4 linked regions of the Nothobranchius furzeri genome follow. The protein of the gene in region 2 purifies or fractionates together with the protein of the main gene of each other region. This does not show direct contact. Links are inferred from orthologs where the notes say so. Each region holds a gene or a part of one and is shown on either strand. Other genes may lie near its edges.

What was found.
Region 1: the proteins of cacybp (region 2) and rnf41 purify together in Homo sapiens (affinity purification with mass spectrometry; 4 studies listed by BioGRID and IntAct, with this or other methods). This does not show direct contact. The link is inferred for Nothobranchius furzeri from reciprocal best matches to the Homo sapiens genes CACYBP and RNF41.
Region 3: the proteins of cacybp (region 2) and skp1 purify together in Homo sapiens (affinity purification with western blotting; 6 studies listed by BioGRID, with this or other methods). This does not show direct contact. The link is inferred for Nothobranchius furzeri from reciprocal best matches to the Homo sapiens genes CACYBP and SKP1.
Region 4: the proteins of cacybp (region 2) and otud5a purify together in Homo sapiens (affinity purification with mass spectrometry; 4 studies listed by BioGRID and IntAct, with this or other methods). This does not show direct contact. The link is inferred for Nothobranchius furzeri from reciprocal best matches to the Homo sapiens genes CACYBP and OTUD5.

Annotation. Positions count from the first base shown.
Region 1 is NC_091755.1:37,149,246-37,153,978, reverse strand, and holds the start of rnf41 (E3 ubiquitin-protein ligase NRDP1), read left to right. Parts: upstream 1-1,652; 5' UTR 1,653-1,777; intron 1,778-2,496; 5' UTR 2,497-2,592; intron 2,593-4,583; 5' UTR 4,584-4,603; coding exon 4,604-4,693; intron 4,694-4,733. Other genes in the region: uncharacterized protein, read right to left, coding at 1-759. UniProt on the Homo sapiens protein: Acts as E3 ubiquitin-protein ligase and regulates the degradation of target proteins. Polyubiquitinates MYD88. Negatively regulates MYD88-dependent production of pro-inflammatory cytokines.
Region 2 is NC_091751.1:54,233,392-54,237,385, reverse strand, and holds part of cacybp (calcyclin-binding protein), read right to left. Parts: intron 585-3,994; coding exon 374-584; intron 282-373; coding exon 185-281; intron 99-184; coding exon 1-98. UniProt on the Homo sapiens protein: May be involved in calcium-dependent ubiquitination and subsequent proteasomal degradation of target proteins. Probably serves as a molecular bridge in ubiquitin E3 complexes. Participates in the ubiquitin-mediated degradation of beta-catenin (CTNNB1).
Region 3 is NC_091750.1:60,005,649-60,009,578, forward strand, and holds the end of skp1 (S-phase kinase-associated protein 1), read right to left. Parts: coding exon 3,790-3,930; intron 1,581-3,789; coding exon 1,440-1,580; intron 1,368-1,439; coding exon 1,332-1,367; 3' UTR 805-1,331; downstream 1-804. UniProt on the Homo sapiens protein: Essential component of the SCF (SKP1-CUL1-F-box protein) ubiquitin ligase complex, which mediates the ubiquitination of proteins involved in cell cycle progression, signal transduction and transcription.
Region 4 is NC_091755.1:47,032,565-47,037,235, reverse strand, and holds the start of otud5a (OTU domain-containing protein 5-A), read right to left. Parts: upstream 2,955-4,671; 5' UTR 2,730-2,954; coding exon 2,142-2,729; intron 1-2,141. UniProt on the Homo sapiens protein: Deubiquitinating enzyme that functions as a negative regulator of the innate immune system. Has peptidase activity towards 'Lys-48'- and 'Lys-63'-linked polyubiquitin chains. Can also cleave 'Lys-11'-linked ubiquitin chains (in vitro).

The sequences.
Region 1 (4,733 bases), on a different chromosome or scaffold from region 2:
TTTGCGGTCACATACATTAGCTTTGTGTCCCTTTTTACCGCATTTAAAACAAATAAAGTCTTTACTATCAGCGCTCCGCTCGTGCATGCTTGGTTGAACATATTTCGGCTTCAGGTGCTTGACCCTCTCATTCATCCGTGCTGCCATCACATTGTCCTCTGTGGCAGTGTCCACACGCAGTTTTTCAGTTTCTTCATAACTTCTCAGTTTACTTTTAAATTCTGAAAAAGTCATGTCATCATCACTTTGTGTCACATGGATTCTAAAAGGCGTAAATGAGTCAGGTAGACCTTTTAAAACCATTGCTATTAGCAGTCCATCGCTCAAAGTTTCACCTGCGGTTCTCAGCGCTGTAATGGCGGCCTCGGCTCTCAAAACATAATCCGTTACACTCTCGCCGCTCTTCTGCTGTAATGCAGTCAGTTCTGTATATAAGCTTATTATGCGGGGTTTTCCCTTCCCGGCATAGTGTTCTCTCAAGATAATTAGAGCTTTCCGCCCGTCGTCAGCTGCGTCTCTCATCACCAGTGAAAGGCTCTTATCATCCAGGAATTGTATAAGTTCGGCATATGCCTCTGCGTTCTTTGAATCATATTCCTCATCATCGTCATCGTCTTTCGGTTTTAATATAATGTCTTTCAAACCTTGTAGCCGGAGGTGTCCGAGAAACTTTGTTTCCCACAGTTCATATTTATCCTCGTCTCCGTCAAATACCAGTCTTGACCAGCGGGTACTGGCTTCCACTGTCTTCCGACTCATAGTGTCCGACACACGTCGTAGCTCTCACTCGACTCACCGGACTTGCTGTTGGTCGGTTCTGTGCTCCTCACACGCTAGCAGGATGCTTTCCCAGCTGTCCTGATTAGCTTGGTGCGCAGCGGAAGCGTGCTGGGCCCATAACCTGTTAGCAGAGTTTCGTTTACCCAGCGGTTGGTCCAAGACTCCAAAATGAATCTCCAGGATTAAAAAAAGGAGGAAATAAATCCATAAACAGAGCGTCTGTTTCACGGGCCTTCACTGGTGGTAGCACACACTGATTGCGGCCACTAAAACACCAATGCTCCCTTTTATTGGTCAATTTACGAGGTCAAAGTTTAACTTCCTCTACAGGTACTTTTCAGTATAAAAGCATACATGTATATACACACACACACATTCTTATTTACAAATTTACACAGATGCATAACATAACAGAGCATAACAGAGCACATTAGACTGATGCTTAACAATTATTTCACAAAATTGATCCATTTGAGGCTTTTTTATTGGATGAAATCATAATGGAGGAAATGTATTGTCTGAGCTCTTGAAAACAAACAAACTTTTCAACATGGCATTTAGCTTACATTATTATAATATTAATGTGTTTTTTTAATCTCAATGTCATTTCTGAGGAACCCAAATAACACATTTCTCCATTATAACTTGAAGTCCGGATTAATGTTTATACAATTATTTACCCAAAACTGATTAACAAACAGACAATTAAAAAAAGAATGTACAAAGAAACAGCAGTCCGTTATGAAAGTTTTAACCGGATAAGGACATTTTCGACAGTGTTAGTGATTAACATTGTTTCGGTAAGAGAGACATTTTTCATTATAAAATTCACTTTTGGGATTTCTGCAGTTTTGCGTGATGACGTTTCCCCTCGTGTCGATTGAGACGTAGACTTGTATGACGTAGCACCAAGACGTGATTAGCAAGGGGCTAGTGTTGGTACGACGTCTGAAAACAGCCTGAATTGTGAAAAGGATCTATTTTACTCAATGTCTGAGTAAGTATATCAGTCAGCTGTTATATCTTGAGCAGTGCAGCTGACTGTAAACAGCTATTGGTGTGTGAAGTTGTCTCTAACGGAGGTCAGTCTGGTTAGCTTATAGCTAATGTCCAAAGGAAACCAACGACAGCGTAGCCGCTAGCTGGGCTAGCTAACGTTACATATTCAGAAATCGTGACAGTCAAACTGTGCTGCTGTACTTTGTAAACCATTAAGATATTTTTCTCTTTGACGCATGTTTACGTTATTAAAAATCAAGTTTTTACGATTTAGTTTAAAGTGTTATTATATGCGTGAAGATAACATTGAGAAACCTCGATGCTCAGCTAAGTTTTGTGCTCCTTGCTCTGAAATATGATGGAAACATGTTGATCTCAAAGCTGTTTCTTTTCATTTTTTGGAATCATTCATTTGTTAACCAGGACAGTAGATAAATATGTTTATTGTAAAATCACGTTGAAAAGTCAGCCTGAGGATGTGAATATGTATGAAAATGGCTACGCTCAATTTAAAGTTCAAATTCTTTATCCTCCAAAAAAACTGTCGGTATGGTAAATTTTTTTAGAAAGTACTTAATCTCAGATTTCAGCTAGTTAAACTCATTTGAGTACATTGTGTATACGTGATATGGGATTTAATGTTCTTGCATATGTGGTTTACAATCATCAGACTAAAAGTTTTTTTTTAAATGCAATAATTTTTTCCTTTTTATTCAGGCAGGGTCTGTGTCTTTTTAGGCAGGCAGAGCATTTCTGCCAGATGTGAGGAATCGAGGAGCTGAATGGAAATATTTGAGGCAGTTTGTGTTTGAGGTAAACAAGATGTTCTAACCAGAACTGTAAATTATTATTTTGACAAAATGTCAATCATTTTTTGATAGTAATTATTCATAGATAGTGTAAAAAACCCTTCTCATCTTAGTTTTAGCCAGGTTTGTTTCACAGTACTGGTATTTAGTAGCGTAGCAAGTGTATAAATGTAAATGTAAAAAAACAACCACACACACATATATACAAACAGTGAGCTAAAGAATTAGTTACTGTACTATATTACATTATCTTTCTGAGCACTCCTTTTCTATGGCCGTCTCCAAGTTTAGGTCCTTCACCACCACCCTTACCCATGGTGTCCCACAAGGTTCTCTGCTCTTCCTCCTCTATCTGCTTCCTCTTCAGCACATCCTGAGCTCCTTCAAAGGAATATCCTACCATCTTTATGCAGATGACATCCAACTGTACATCTCCTTTAAGCCCCATGAGATGTCTAAGCTGCAGCTGTTACACACCTGCTTAGACTCTATCAAAACCTGGATGGCTGGGAGCTTTCTTCAGCTGAATGAAGATAAGACTGAGATCCTCATCTGTGCCCCAGACAAGCTGGTTCCCAAAGTCAGAGACTCTCTTGGTCAGCTTGCTTCCCACACCAAACCTTCTGTCAGGAATCTTGGCGTGACCTTTGACCCAGCTCTCACCCTGGATTCTCATGTCATTTCTCTTGTTTGCTCTTCCTTCTTCCATCTCAGGAACGTTGCTAAGCTGAGTCCCATTCTGTCCCGCTCTGAACTTGAGACAGTTCTCCACTCCTTCATCTCCTCATGCTTAGACTACTGTAACTCTCTTTTCACGTGTCTGAGCAGAACCTCCCTGAACCGTCTACAGGTGGTTCGGAATGCCTGTGCTCGGCTTCTGACCAAGTCCTCCAAACACACCCACATCACTCCGCTTCTCCTCCAGCTTCACTGGCTGCCAGTCAACTTCAGGGTTCATTTCAAGATCCTGGTTCTGGTCTATAGGGCCTTACATGGACAAGCACCATCTTACATTGGTGATCTTCTTAGTCCCTACACCCCCAGCAGGTCCCTGAGGTCCGGTGATCAAAGCCTACTGGTTGTGCAGCACCAGACTAAAGACCAAAGGTGACAGATCATTTGCTGCTGTGGCCCCCAGACTCTGGAACTCTCTCCCCCTGAGCCTGAGATCAGTGGACTCAGTGGTCTCCTTTAAAAAGCAGCTGAAGACTCACCTGTTCAAGCTGGCTTTTGTATGACCTTCTTCACCTCTCTCTTTTTGTTCTGCTCTCCCCACCTATTCCACCTTCCTCAGGATCCACTGATTTCCCTCTTTCCTGTTCACTCTCTCTCTTTCTTAACATTTTTTAATTACAATTGCCCATTTTTTTTGCTCATTTAAAATATATTTTTAACCATTTTCTAAATTCTTTTTTATATTTTTTCATTTTTTGTTTTTGTGAAGCGCCTCGTGATTTTTATCTTGAGAAGCGCTATCGAAATGATATTTTCTTCCTCTTCATAATAAACAACATGATGAAACATGTCACCTTCTTGTGTTGAAATCTGTGTAAAATACTTTCGGTTTGGGGGGGGGGGGTGAGATTAAATAATTCAGCATCTCAGAAGCCCTTTTACAATACACACCGCCTTAATCTTATAAAAAGGACACGATTGCACCACATTACCGCCACAGTCTGACCACTTATGAACAACCTAAGGCTCCCTGATGCTGCCACGGCATTGCGGCAAATTAATGGCATTGTTTTGTAAAAATGGCTAGAGTGATAATAGAAACATTTGCTCATCAGGTTGCAGTACAAGCATTGCCAAGTATCTCCATTTCTGCTTTCTGAAAGGCATCTGGGTCATCCATTACAATACGATTTGGGACAATCACATTCCTCCTTTACATTATTTTGTTGACAAAGAAATTTTTAATTACATTAAAACAGCTAATATACCTACTATGTGTAGGTGGTTTATATTTAATCTTTTTTAAATTGTGTTGTTCAGGAGGTTGTAGGTTGTGTACCATGGGGTACGACGTTACGAGGTTCCAGGGTGAGGTAGATGAAGACCTGCTGTGTCCAATATGTAGTGGAGTGCTTGAAGAACCAGTCCAGGTAAGTCAACCACATGTATAAATAATAAAATCTGCTCGTG
Region 2 (3,994 bases):
TTTTATAGCTGTCCTGCACACTGATTGGATGCAACAGGTTGAGAACAGTCATCTGATGGTTTTTGCCATCTAGATCCTTGACCAGCACCGAAAACGATCTGCAAGAGACAACATGTGATTTTAAAAAAAATATTTCATATGATGAACAAGCACAGCAAACGTTATTTGTTACTCACAAGTTTACCTTTCTGTGAAGTTCACCTCCACATTTTCTGAAGGTATTTTCTGCACTTCTTTCAAATTCAGGTAAATTTTGACAAATTTGTCAGACTGATCCCATGCTGTGAATAAATATTTATATAATTTTAAAAATGGAACAATGTGGAGAATTTGCTACTGCCCTCATAAACCTTTAATCTTGAAAGCTCTTTACCATAGCTAGTGATCTTCACTGTGTACGCTGCTTTGGAGGCTGAAGAAGGTTCTGCTTCTCTCCTAGCTTGTTGCTCCTGCTGTAGCCGTTTGGCTGTGAGTTCTTTCTCCACCTTCTTCTGCTCCTCCTTTAGCAGATCCTGAACCCTTTTCCTTTCTGCTTTCCCCAAGAGGGAACCTAGCTCCTGCAGGTCTGATTCCAGCTGACTAATCTGTTGGACAAAAAGGAGGGTGGAGGTAGTGGTGAAAGCAGAGAAACAGATGAACACACATTTTCAGTATAAACCACGGTAAAGGGTATTAACAGTTATAATAACACATTAAAAAAAAACTATTTTTTACATCAAGATTATCTTGTTATCCAATCAACAATATGTATACCAGGAAATAAATGTAGGACTCAGACATATGGCTCAGACTTTTTGCTGCAGCTGTAAACGCAACTTTACGTAATCATTGAGAGCACAAAGCCAAACAAAATACAGCTAATCACAAAGAATTAGTAGCAGCAGCTAAGACGTAAGACGTCTTTGAGCATGCAAAACAGGGATGTCCCGATACAACTTTTTTCACTTCCGATACGATACAGATTATACAGCCTTAAGTACTGACCGATACAGATATCAATCTGATATGAAATCAGCACAAATCACACATATTTTTACCTATTTCATAGCGTGAAATGCATAAAAGACTTGATCAAGTGATTTTATTCAAACAGAAAAGAAAAGTCAACCTTTGGTTGCAAAAATGTGGAGGGCAGGGACTAGGGCCTGACCGATATATCGTCCGGCCGATATTATTGGCTGATATTGGGGTCATTAACAGTATCGGCTATCGGCCAAAAAGACGGCCGATATTGCGCTACCTATCCAGCAGATGGTGCCTGCTTTATGAACTCATGTTGTGTGGCTCCACTCCTTTGAACACAAATTATTGTTTTGGAACTTTTTTTTTTTCAATTTATTCTTATTTATGTTTCTTATGTGCAATTATTTCCTGTCCAGGGTGAATAAGTTCACCAAGTTAACTTCCACAGAGTGTTACTTTGTTACAAAGCACAAGTATTACGTTTTATTTATTGCTGTATTTTTATTATTTTAATATTCTTATAGGGATCTTCTGTCCCTAAACTTGTGCATGTTGTTAGATTCCCCAGAGTTAGCTAAGTCAGAAAAAACATTATGTAACCAGTTGTTTTAGCATTAAGCAATGGAAGGGAAGGCTTGCATTCACCTACATAAAAAACGCTACAGTGTATGTGAATTCACTTACATTGTTTTATGCTAAACTAAGAAAACCAACTGCTGCCAGATCATATTGGGCTGGTTATAAAATGCTTTTTCTGACTTGTCCAACTCTGGGGAATCTTAACAAGACACAATTTTACTGAGTGGTGGAATAATCCTTTAAGTTAAAATGTATTTGTGGAAACCACAGTATACAAGAAAAAACTTGAATGTTAGATTTATGCTGTGACTGAGTTTGTGTGTTCTGTTGTTTTTGAGATCTGCTAAATAAGTCTTATTTGCATTACTTGGAAACCCTAGTGAGTTATTGAGACCGTTCTTTGGTGTGTAATAGCAAAATAAGTAAGCATCAAAAAGGCAGAGAATGAAGGGTTTAAGCTTAAGAAAATTTTTATTTCTTTTTTTGTGAGGGAGATTTACCGGCCATTATATCTGCTATCGGCCTTTGTTAAAAGTTTTATATCGGTATCGGTCCCAAAAAAGCATATCGATCGGGCCTTAGCAGGGACATAAGAAAAAAAAACACAATATTGTTCATTGACCAACTGCTACAAGTCGAGTGTCTAAAGTTTAAAGTTCACACACTCCAAAAATCCTCATGCAATGTTTTGTGATCCTGCTTCAAGTGCACGATGAGGTTGGACTTAAGTCTCTGCAATGAAAAAAAAGTCTCTGCAATGGCTCTCATTTAAATGCCATGCAGAATTTTTTATTTTTTGAAGCTCTTAATGGCTCAGCTCTCCTTTACATACAGTCCAGGGTTGTCACGGTAACCGGTGTAGCGGTAAACCCCGGTAAAAAAGTTGACAATAATAATAACCTCTCTAGTTTTAAAAAAAATATATATTATCTTGGTGGATTACCGTGGCTGCGGTGTAGGCGCAGTGACCCTTACCAGCCACCGTATCATCTGCTGAAGTTGCCGGCGGCACATGCGCACTTTACTGTTTACAACCAAAACTTTCTTGAAGCTAAAGCTGAAATAATGGTTAAAGGAGGAGACGGCTGCGCTCAGGACATTTATTATCCCTCAAAGAAGACAAAGTCGGAAGTATGGGCATTTTTTGGATATTTGAAGAATGCCGAGGGACACTTGCTAGAAGACAGCTATCCTGTTTGCAGCACGTGCAGAAAAAGTGTCTGTGAAAGGCAGCAACCCTTCAAATCTCATGACACATCTGCATGATCATCACCCACAACTCTACAATCAATGCAAGGCAAGTTGACGTTAGTGTTTTAGCTAAAATGCGTGATCCGAGGACTTGGGTTGAGGAATAAAGCAACGAATCCAAGATGAGATCCAAAAAGCTGTTAAACTCAGTGAAGCAAGCCATCATTAGGCTGAAAAAACAAAAGAAACCTATCAGAGAGATAGCAAAAACATTAGGCGTGGCCAAAACAAGTTTGGAACATTCTCAAAAAGAAGGAACACACCGGTGAGCTCAGCAACACCAAAATACCTGGAAGACCACGGAAAATAACTGTGGTTGATGACCGAAGAATCCTTTCCCTGGTGAAGAAAACACCCTTCACAACAGTTGGCCAGATCAATAATGCTCTCCAGGAGGTAGGTGTATCTGTGTCAAAGTCAACAATCAAGAGAAGACTCCACCAGTGTGAATACAGAGGGTTCACCACAAGATGTAAACCGTTGGTGAGCCCCAAAAACAGGAAGGCCAGATTAGAGTTTGCCAAACAACATCTAAAAAAGCCTTCACAGTTCTGGAACAACATCCTATGGACAGATGAGGCCAAGATCAACTTGTACCAGAGTGATGGGAAGAGAAGAGTATGGAGACGGAAAGGAACTGCTCATGATCCCAAGCGTACCACCTCATCAGTGAAGCATGGTGCTGGAAGAGTCATGACGTGGGCATGTATGGCTGCCAGTGGAACTGGTTCTCTTGTATTTATTGATAACTGCTGACAAAAAAAGCACAATGAATTCTCAAGTGTGTCAGGCAATATTATCTGCTCATATTCAGCTGAATATTTCACTTGCTGAAGACAAAACTGAAGGGAAAATGCCCCAGGAACAAGCAGGAACTGAAGACTGTTGCAGTAGAAGCCTGGCAGAGCATCACCAGGGATGAAACCCAACGTCTGGTGACATCTATGTGTTCCAGACTTCAGGCTGTAATTGACTGCAAAGGACTTGCAACCAAGTATTGAAATGTCTAAGTTTGATTTATGGTTCTTATTCTGTAAAGTGACCTTGGGTGACCTGAAAGGTGCTTTTAAATAAAATGTATTGTTATTATTATTATTAAGTAATTAATTAGCAAATCTAACATACAGTCTGGATAACTGTTCGTTTATCCAGACATGTCAGAAAAGGGGACCGCACATTTGCACAACATATATTGGTATTG
Region 3 (3,930 bases), on a different chromosome or scaffold from region 2:
ACTAAATCATGCGAGAACAACAACATCCCAGCAGAACCGCAGATTTTTAGAGAAATTTGTTTTTATTTTTGCTGCCAATGTCACAAAAAGTTCAATTAAGAGAATAAACCACTTGTTTTCAGGCACTTTTAGGATTTTAATCTCCAGCTTCAACCTTTTTTGTTTTTGTTGTTTTGTTTTTCCTATTTTTGTCGATGACTTGTGAAATTTTTAGTCGGATGTTTGTTTCTCCTTTGACCATTCCACACATTCTGCAAACTCATCTGAGACCAAATGGGTACTATAATATTATGTGTTGTAAAGTTTTATATTATAAATAAAATTTTGTATGTTTTTTATGAAAAAAATGGTAAATTACTTTTTAAAAAGTTTTTTTTTTCTAAAAATGTGTTTTTTTGTTTTTGTTTTTTTGGAGTCAAGTGTTACTGCAGCAGCATTCAAACTATATCTGTGCATGCCTAAACTTTGTTACATTTCTGAGGGTTTTATATAAAAGGCTTTAATTTACTGTCTGCTTGCAGCTTCCCAACTGTGGATAAAATGTATGCTGAGTTGTTGTCTTCCTCCAGCAGAGGGTGCCCTTATAATACAAATCTGTGCTTTTCTATTCGGGGCATTCAGGTTTGAGGCACACACACACCTCTAAGATGTCTTTGTATCTTTGAACTCCTGGTGTGTTGTTTTTGTTTGATGTAATAAAAGTGTTTGGAATATCTCTGAAGACTGCAAACTTAAAATTTTAAGGATGATTTCAAAGTAAATTTAAAGAAAAAGAGCCAAAGAAACAAGAAAATGTAACACATGCTCTCTGAACAGGTTTTATTTACTCCTTCAATGTGGATTTCCTCAAAGTTTCCAGTGTCAAAACATGAATCTGGAACTCGCTCTGCATGATGGACATCGTTCCGCCTTCAAACTGCTCATTTTTATACACAAGTTCACAAAACCGATACATTTACAGAGCAAAAACAATTCACCCTCCTGTTTCCATCGGCAAAAAAGTGAAGGTTGTTTAATTATCTAAAAGAAAACATTGCCATAGAAAAAAGAACAAGGATACGAAAAATGTAGCTTTTTATGTTTTAGAGGGAAATACAAAGCCATGAAACCATGAATATAATTATATTCATGAGTGGAAACGGTAACAAGCGTTTCAGCTTTAAATTAATGACACCATACAGGTCAGAATTAAATGTTCATGCTTTTATTGGTACACAGAAATAATAAGCTGGGGGATGGTAATTATACTAAAATATTAACAAGTATGAACATCGCCAGTGCAACCAGTTACAGATCGTTTCAGTGTGGTAGTGTTGGCAGCATCTTCCCTTTTACTTTTCTTCACACCACTGGTTCTCTTTGCGTACCTGTGGACAAAAAGCAGTTTAAAAGCTTTGTTTTCCTTGAGCATCACTTTTGAGGACTTTTTTTTTTTTTACCTGGGCTTCCTCCTCCTCCGTGAAATCGTTTTTGATGTTGAACGTCTTCCTGATCTCCTCTGGGGTTTTGCCTTTGATCATATTGGCCACCGTCTTGCAAGTGACGTCTAACAGGCCTTTGATGTCCAAATAGTTGGCGGCCTGAACAGAAAATAAATGACATTCGGATGTGGAAGATGCTGTGAGATGGCACAAATGCCTCTGATGAATAAGTAACTTTAATGTCTAATATAGGAACTATGAATAAAAGTTTTACATCAGTAAAGCTGGGCCAGTTAGCGTTAGCATGTTAAATACAGAACTATTACAGGGTAACTGCAGGTTTAAGGGAGTCAAATTTAAGACTTTTTAAGACCTTTTTAAGGCCACTTTGACCAAATTTAAGCTATATTTTAAAATTCAATTTCTGCTATAATTTCCAGCTATTGCCTGGAACCGGTGCTAACCACATCGCGAACGTGGGATTAGCCATCCAATTACCATTAAACTTGCACTTCTCCATGGCGTAAGCTCCCACTAGCTTAATCAGCTAATGTGCTCATCTAAAACTAGCCCCCTTTCACAACCAACTGAATGTGTACGGTTCCGCTTACGCCAACATTGTACACAAAAAATGCTGAACACTAACTGGAAATTCACGAAAATGTCATAGAAATGAAATAATCTAGTTTATTGGGTCTTTGGTAATTTAAGACCTTTGGAAACTGTATTTAAGGATCATTTGTCATTTTTAAGGATTTTCAAGGCCTTAAATTTGGAAAAGTAAATGTAAGACTTTTTAAGGACCTGCGGATACCCTGCATTATCCAAATCTGCTTCCACTTCATTAACAAGGAACTTTTTATACAACTTAAAATCAGCATCTGTCTCTTTTACTAGATGTTGCTAAGCAACATTTGTGTTTTTGGTGATCAAATCAGACCACAAAAAAGACAGAATTAGGGATGTCCCGATACGACACCGATTTCAATACGATACCAGCACAAATCATACTTTTACCTATTCCGTAGTGTGGAATGTATGAAAGGCTTGATGAAGTGATATTACTCAATCGGAGAACAAGAGCCAATAACAGTAAGTATGAAAAAAAATTTGACCCTTTTTTTAAACCACTGGTCGCAAAAATGTGAACCTTAACAAACTGCTTATATTGGAGATTTATGATGCAGTCCGATATAATCCAATAGTGTTTTTGGGCCGATAATGAATTGCTTCTGATATCGGAATGGGACATCCCTAGACAGAATACTAGTGATGCACCGATATCATATATCGGCGATATGAAATTTTTTGTGCCGATACCGATATTGGTCGATATCGATATACTGGCATTAATGCTTCTAAAATCAGCAGATTTTGTATAGAATGAAAATTATAAATTATTAAAGCTGGATTTACATTATTATGTACACACACCACACACATTTATGGTTCTGAAATGATTTCATTCACTGTTCACAAGACTAAATTACACATCACCCTCTGAAACAGGCAAACAAATGGGGACAAGATGGAAAAATATCGGTTGTTAATATTGGCCTGGTTTTCTTTATTGAACAGATATGTTAAAAAATAGCTAACATCAGCCGATACCGTTATATTGTCCATCCCTACAGAATACCCAATTACACAAAACTTGACAAAAAAAATTTTTTTTAAAATAATCATCAAACGAGGACGTTTGAAGTAACGGGTGTAAATAAAGATCTGGATCGGAGTTAAGAGAAAACAAGCACTTATATCGTTTGAAGAACATATTCATGGGGCTTTGGGACATTCTGACGTGTTTCTGTGTAACACATCAGTTTTTATCTTACTTCTTGTAGACAGCTTCCTGAAGAGCCTCAGTTTGAAGAAAGTGTTTACGTTTTAACTAATGATGTGCTAAAGCTAATCCAAACACAAGTGGATCGCTAACGTCTCCAAGCTCCTCTTATAAACTACATTTCAAATCAGTTCACATGAATAATTATAGCTGTACAATACAAAATAAGTTGCCTTTTTAAACACTTATTTTATTTATAGTAATGTTTACAGTGAGCGCATTTTAGGCTGAGTGTTATGGAGAGCTGCGGCGAAGAGGTCGGCTGCCAATCAGAATTTGTAGCAGAACTATAAACTATGTGTAATATTTGCAAAAACAACAACTTTTCTGGTTTTGCCTGACCCAAACTTCTAATAATGACCTAAAAACAGAGAGGACATTTTTTCCAGTTGATTCAACCTCAAGAGTTAAGAATTCTGCTGAGGGGTGAAAATCTGTTTAAGGGGTGCGGGAAAAGCATCAATTTCAATGTAGCTAACGCATTTAGCAGCAAAATAAGAATAATGTTTAATGAAACATATTTACCAGAATGAGTTCAAACAAGGTGCCTTGGTCCACTTTGAGGAACTCCTGGTCCCAGACGGGAATGTCGTCCGTCCTTTTCTCTTTGTTCTCATCATCCTCGGGAGGAGGAGGATCATCTTTGTGATGAGTGCACCACTGAAT
Region 4 (4,671 bases), on a different chromosome or scaffold from region 2:
TGTGGAACAATAGCATCGGTGTCAGTTCCGATACCGTCATGAAAAAAACCAGTGCACGTAGGAGACAGAGATAAAAAATAAACAAAAATAAATAAAGGTTATTTAAAGCATAAAACAGAAGCATGGCTGAATTTTTGGTTTTACTTAAATAGTTTAAAATGTTTTGTCGACATTTTAGAGATGTTCCACAAAGTTTATGAACATGATGTCATCACATGACAGCGCCGAGAGAAGAAATGGCAGCTCGCGTACCAGCTGACCGGGAGTCTTAAAAAAACCACAACTTCTGGTGAACTCTTATGAGGTCATTTGTGCAAACAAAAGAGGACAGCGAAAGCCGCCCGCCCCGTCGGCACGGCAGAGCAGCGAGCCGTAGCTGAAGAGGCAGATTTCTGTCTGCAGCCGTCATTAAAAGGCACGACTACAGGCCTTTCTGGTGGAAATAAGCAGCCAGCCTTCCCCAGATGTCACGACTAGCCCAAAGGTAACCGGCCGTCTGCCACAAGCGAGTTTTCAGCAGTTGGGGGCTGAAGCCGAAAAAGGTAAACGTGCAGGTTTTACAGGTGAAAAATCTTTTTATAAGCTTGTTTTTTTATTAAAGTTGTTAATATTAGGTGTGTTATGTTGTTAGTGTTTGTTATTGAGTTTCTGAACGGTGAAGGTCCAAACCAACAGTTTGAAGGCTTACGTCATCATTTTTAAATTAGTCCCAGTAATACCGCACACCGTGGTAAAATGTGGAGGAAGCTAGGTGGGATTAAAATGTGAGCACCGCCCACGTCTAGATGTTATCAGTGACATTTTACCATACGGCTGACCAGGACCTCTACATATCAGCATCAGCAAAAGAAAAACCAATTTGTCAATCTCTAATCAGCAACCACTCCATTCAGAGGCTGCACCAAATCCTCTGGGTTGGACCAGAACAGCAGAAATGTGGTCAACTGGATCAGAACTCTGGAGTATTGTTTCAAGAGCTGGGGTCTAAGAGCTCTGGTCCAAAGAGGAAAAGGAACATCCAGGCTGTCAGCATCAGGACCAAAAGCCCGTTCCTGGTTCAGAAACAAAATAAGACCCGCGAGTCTTTATCATCAGAAGTTAAAGAGGATGGCTACTGATGAAGAGCCTGTTGGAAAAGGTAGGTTTTAAGCTTGCGCTTGAACAAAGATAACTCAAAAGTCAAACTCAGGTCATCAGGGAGTTTGTTCCAGACTGCTGGAGTCACGACTGAAAAAGAGCGGTCACCCCAGTGCTTGTATCGAGGTCGAGGGACTGAGTTAGTGGACCGTGTTAGCTGACGTAAGGACAAGGAGTCAGAGAGATAGGCAGGACCGAGGCCATGGATGCTCGTGAACATTATGAATTTGAATTGTGTTCTGAAAAATACAGGAAGCCAGTGCAGTTCTAAGCGAATGGGAGTAATATGGCTGCCCCAAGGTGTGTTAGTGAGGAGACGGGCTGCGGTATTTTGGGCTAGCTGCAGACGAGCGATGGAGGACTTGGATAGGGCATTGCAGTAACCGATGTGCGAGCTTATAAGGGCATGACTGACTTTTTCCAGGTCCTAAGTTGATAAAAACTTGACTTGACCGCCGCATTGATCTGTTTGTCGAAATTCATGTGTTCATCGAAGATGACACTGAGGTTTCAAACATGTTGCTTACGTCTAATGGCCTGCTGATCGAGGTCAGTAGAGACCTGATGGTGTAAAAAAAAATCCACATTCTAGAAAAGTGCTGATCCAGATTCAGGACCACAGGTCTGGATCTGGATGCTGGGAGGCACTAAAACCACATCTGGACTGACTGTTGCTGCTGCCCCCACCTGCACATCCAGCCCTCATAAATCCCCACCCCTATTACCTGTTGTGTGACTACAGCATCCCAGTCGTTGCTATGGTTACCTGAAGCCTTTGGGAAGCGGGTCAGACTTTGACCTGACCGTTGTGGTGAAAACAGTGTAGTACTGGTGTTGTACCGCTACAGCGGCGTTTCCTTTATGATTACACTTTTGTTAATCACGACACTGCTGACACGGTGGGGTCTCTTTATGGAGTTAAATGTTGTGTAAAAGCCTTCAAACCCTCCAGAACCCTCCCGTTTAGCCTCGTTAGCATCCCCGTTAGCCTGTTAGCTCCCTACCTGCTCCACCGTGGCCGGGTCCATGAACTGCAACCGGGCGGCGTTCTCGTACTCGTCCTCGCTGTTGTTCCCTGCTCCTTCCTCCGTATCCTGACTGGACCCTACACCTCCGGGTCCGGTCACCCCCGGCTGGCCTCCCCCGGCCAGAGCAGCGACCACCCCACCGGAGCAGGTTCCTGCCTGCCGCCGCCTCTTGCTCAGCCCGGGCCCGGAGCAGCAACCGCCTATCGACCCGCCGCATCCAACGACACCGGCAGGCACAACAAGCTCCCCGCGGGAGCCGGTAACCATTCCACCGCTACCGTCTCTGCCATCTCCCGGCCCTACCGGGGACACGGAGCCAACGGGCGGCGGAGAGGCCTGCTGCGGCCGGGAGCTCGCCTCGATGCTCCGCCTGTCCTCTCTGGCGGAGGGGGGAGCAGTCTGGTAAGACCACGGCGGAGGGGAGGCTCTGGGTCGGGCTCCGGTCCGCCCAGCGTGCGGGTGTGGGTGTTGGTGAGGGTCGGAGCTGCTCCGACGGTCGCTGTCATCGGCGTGGTCCGAGACGCCGACACCAGAGCTGGGCTTCTTCTTGGGGAGGATCGTCATGGTGGAGCAGGGAGGCGGTCAGAGGGTGACGAGTCCCCGTTCTGGATAAAACTAGTCGGTCTATTCACCTTCTGAACGAGCGGTTCGGCTCCAGTCACCGAGTTAAGACCCTTAACGGACCGAAACCGACCAAAGAAACAACAATTCTGTTTACATTCGACGGTGGAGTTGAACAAAAACAAAAAGCGTCTCCCTCTTCCCGTTCTCCAAAACATCAACACAGCCTGACTGGGCGCTGTGACGTAACATCCGGCCGGCAGCGTCATGACGTAAACCTGACCTTTAACACACAGAATCACTATTTTTATTATTAATCATTTATTCTATAAAACTCTACAAAACATTTTTGTTTTAATTCTTATCGCTTTTCAGCTTTTTGTGTAAAATTACGAAACAAACAAAACAAAAAAACAATAAAAACTGATGCTGCGAATCATTTAAAGAGCAACTCACCCCCCAAATAAACTTTTGCTTAGTCAACCCCTACCAGAGTCTAACTCCACTCTCACTTCATGTTTGAAAAATGCAACAAATGCTGTTGCCTGGCAGACCGAGAAGGCGGAGCTGCTAACAAATACACACACACACACAGGCTCACGACAGCATTGTGACATCATAATGTACCAGTTTACATCATAGCATACCTCTTCGCCAATAGCGGTGGCAGATTTAAATTGAAATACAGTGCAGAGTTTTTACCTGACAACGGCACAACACTGCCAGTTTTAGGCAGAATATTTAAATTTTAACTAAGATGCACTAAAGTGCCAAATTATTGACGACACGTGTCTGCAGCACGATTAGACACTCGTTTATTTAGTTTATCAGCAAAAAAAAAGTTTATTTGGGGGGGTGACTTGCTCTTTAAGCAACAACAGAATGCTGTTATTTACACTTGATTAAAAGTCATTTGTTTTGCTCTTTGTGATGATTTTTCTTTCAGTGATAAGTAGGGCCAGCAGTAGCTCAAGAGGTTGGGTTGGTTGTCCAGTAATCAGAAGGTTGCAGGTCCGATCCCGGCTCCCACCAGAGAATCCTGCTGTTGTGTCCTTGGGCAAGAAAATTACCCCCCACCCCCCCCAACCCCACCCCGCCCGCCCCCTGGTGGCGGTCGGAAGGACCGGTGACACCTGGGTTTGGCAGCCTCGCCTCCGTCAGTGTGCCCCAGGGCAGCTGTGGCTATGTTGTAGCTCATCACCACCAGTGTGTGAACGGATGAATGATACACTGACACTGAAAGGCGCTATAAAAGTGCAGTTCAAGTCAAAGTTTTGAATGAGAAAATAATCACCCCCTCTGAAGGACTACAATCGTATTGCTCTGTGAATAACGCCAGCTGTTGCTGGAGCTGACATCAGACGGACCATGGGTGGCAATCCACATTTAAAAGATTTCAGGGAAAGAGTTGTGGACAGACTACGGAAAATTTCAATCTCAAGGAGCAGCACAGTAAAGTCTCCAATAAAGAAGGGGACAGTGTTTGGTGCAACTGGGACCCTCCCTTGTTCTGTGTGGAAGTGCAAGGAGGAAACTGATGTTCTACAGACTTTTTACCATAGCTTTGCTGAGTATCATCACCTTCTCAATAATCTGCTGGTTCCACTCCATCCGTCTCCACAACAGGAAGCGACTGCAGAGGATTGCTTCACTCTGCTCTAAAATAACCGGGTCCTTAATTGTCCCTCGGAGACAAAGAAAGCTTTTTGGAACTGAATCTGGTGAGGAGGCTACCAAGAGGCTGGTGGCCTCTCTGCAGGAGTTACAGGACTTTATGGCAGAGTGGTCATTCTGTACACGTGACAACAATTTCACAAGCGCTGCAGAGATGTGGCTTGTTCTGGAGGGTTTCTCAGAAATGATTCTTCTGGAGAAAGACCACATTAAAGCTGGCTTGAGCTTTTCCAGAATGGAAGATTCCTAAAGGTACACCTGGTGTAAATCC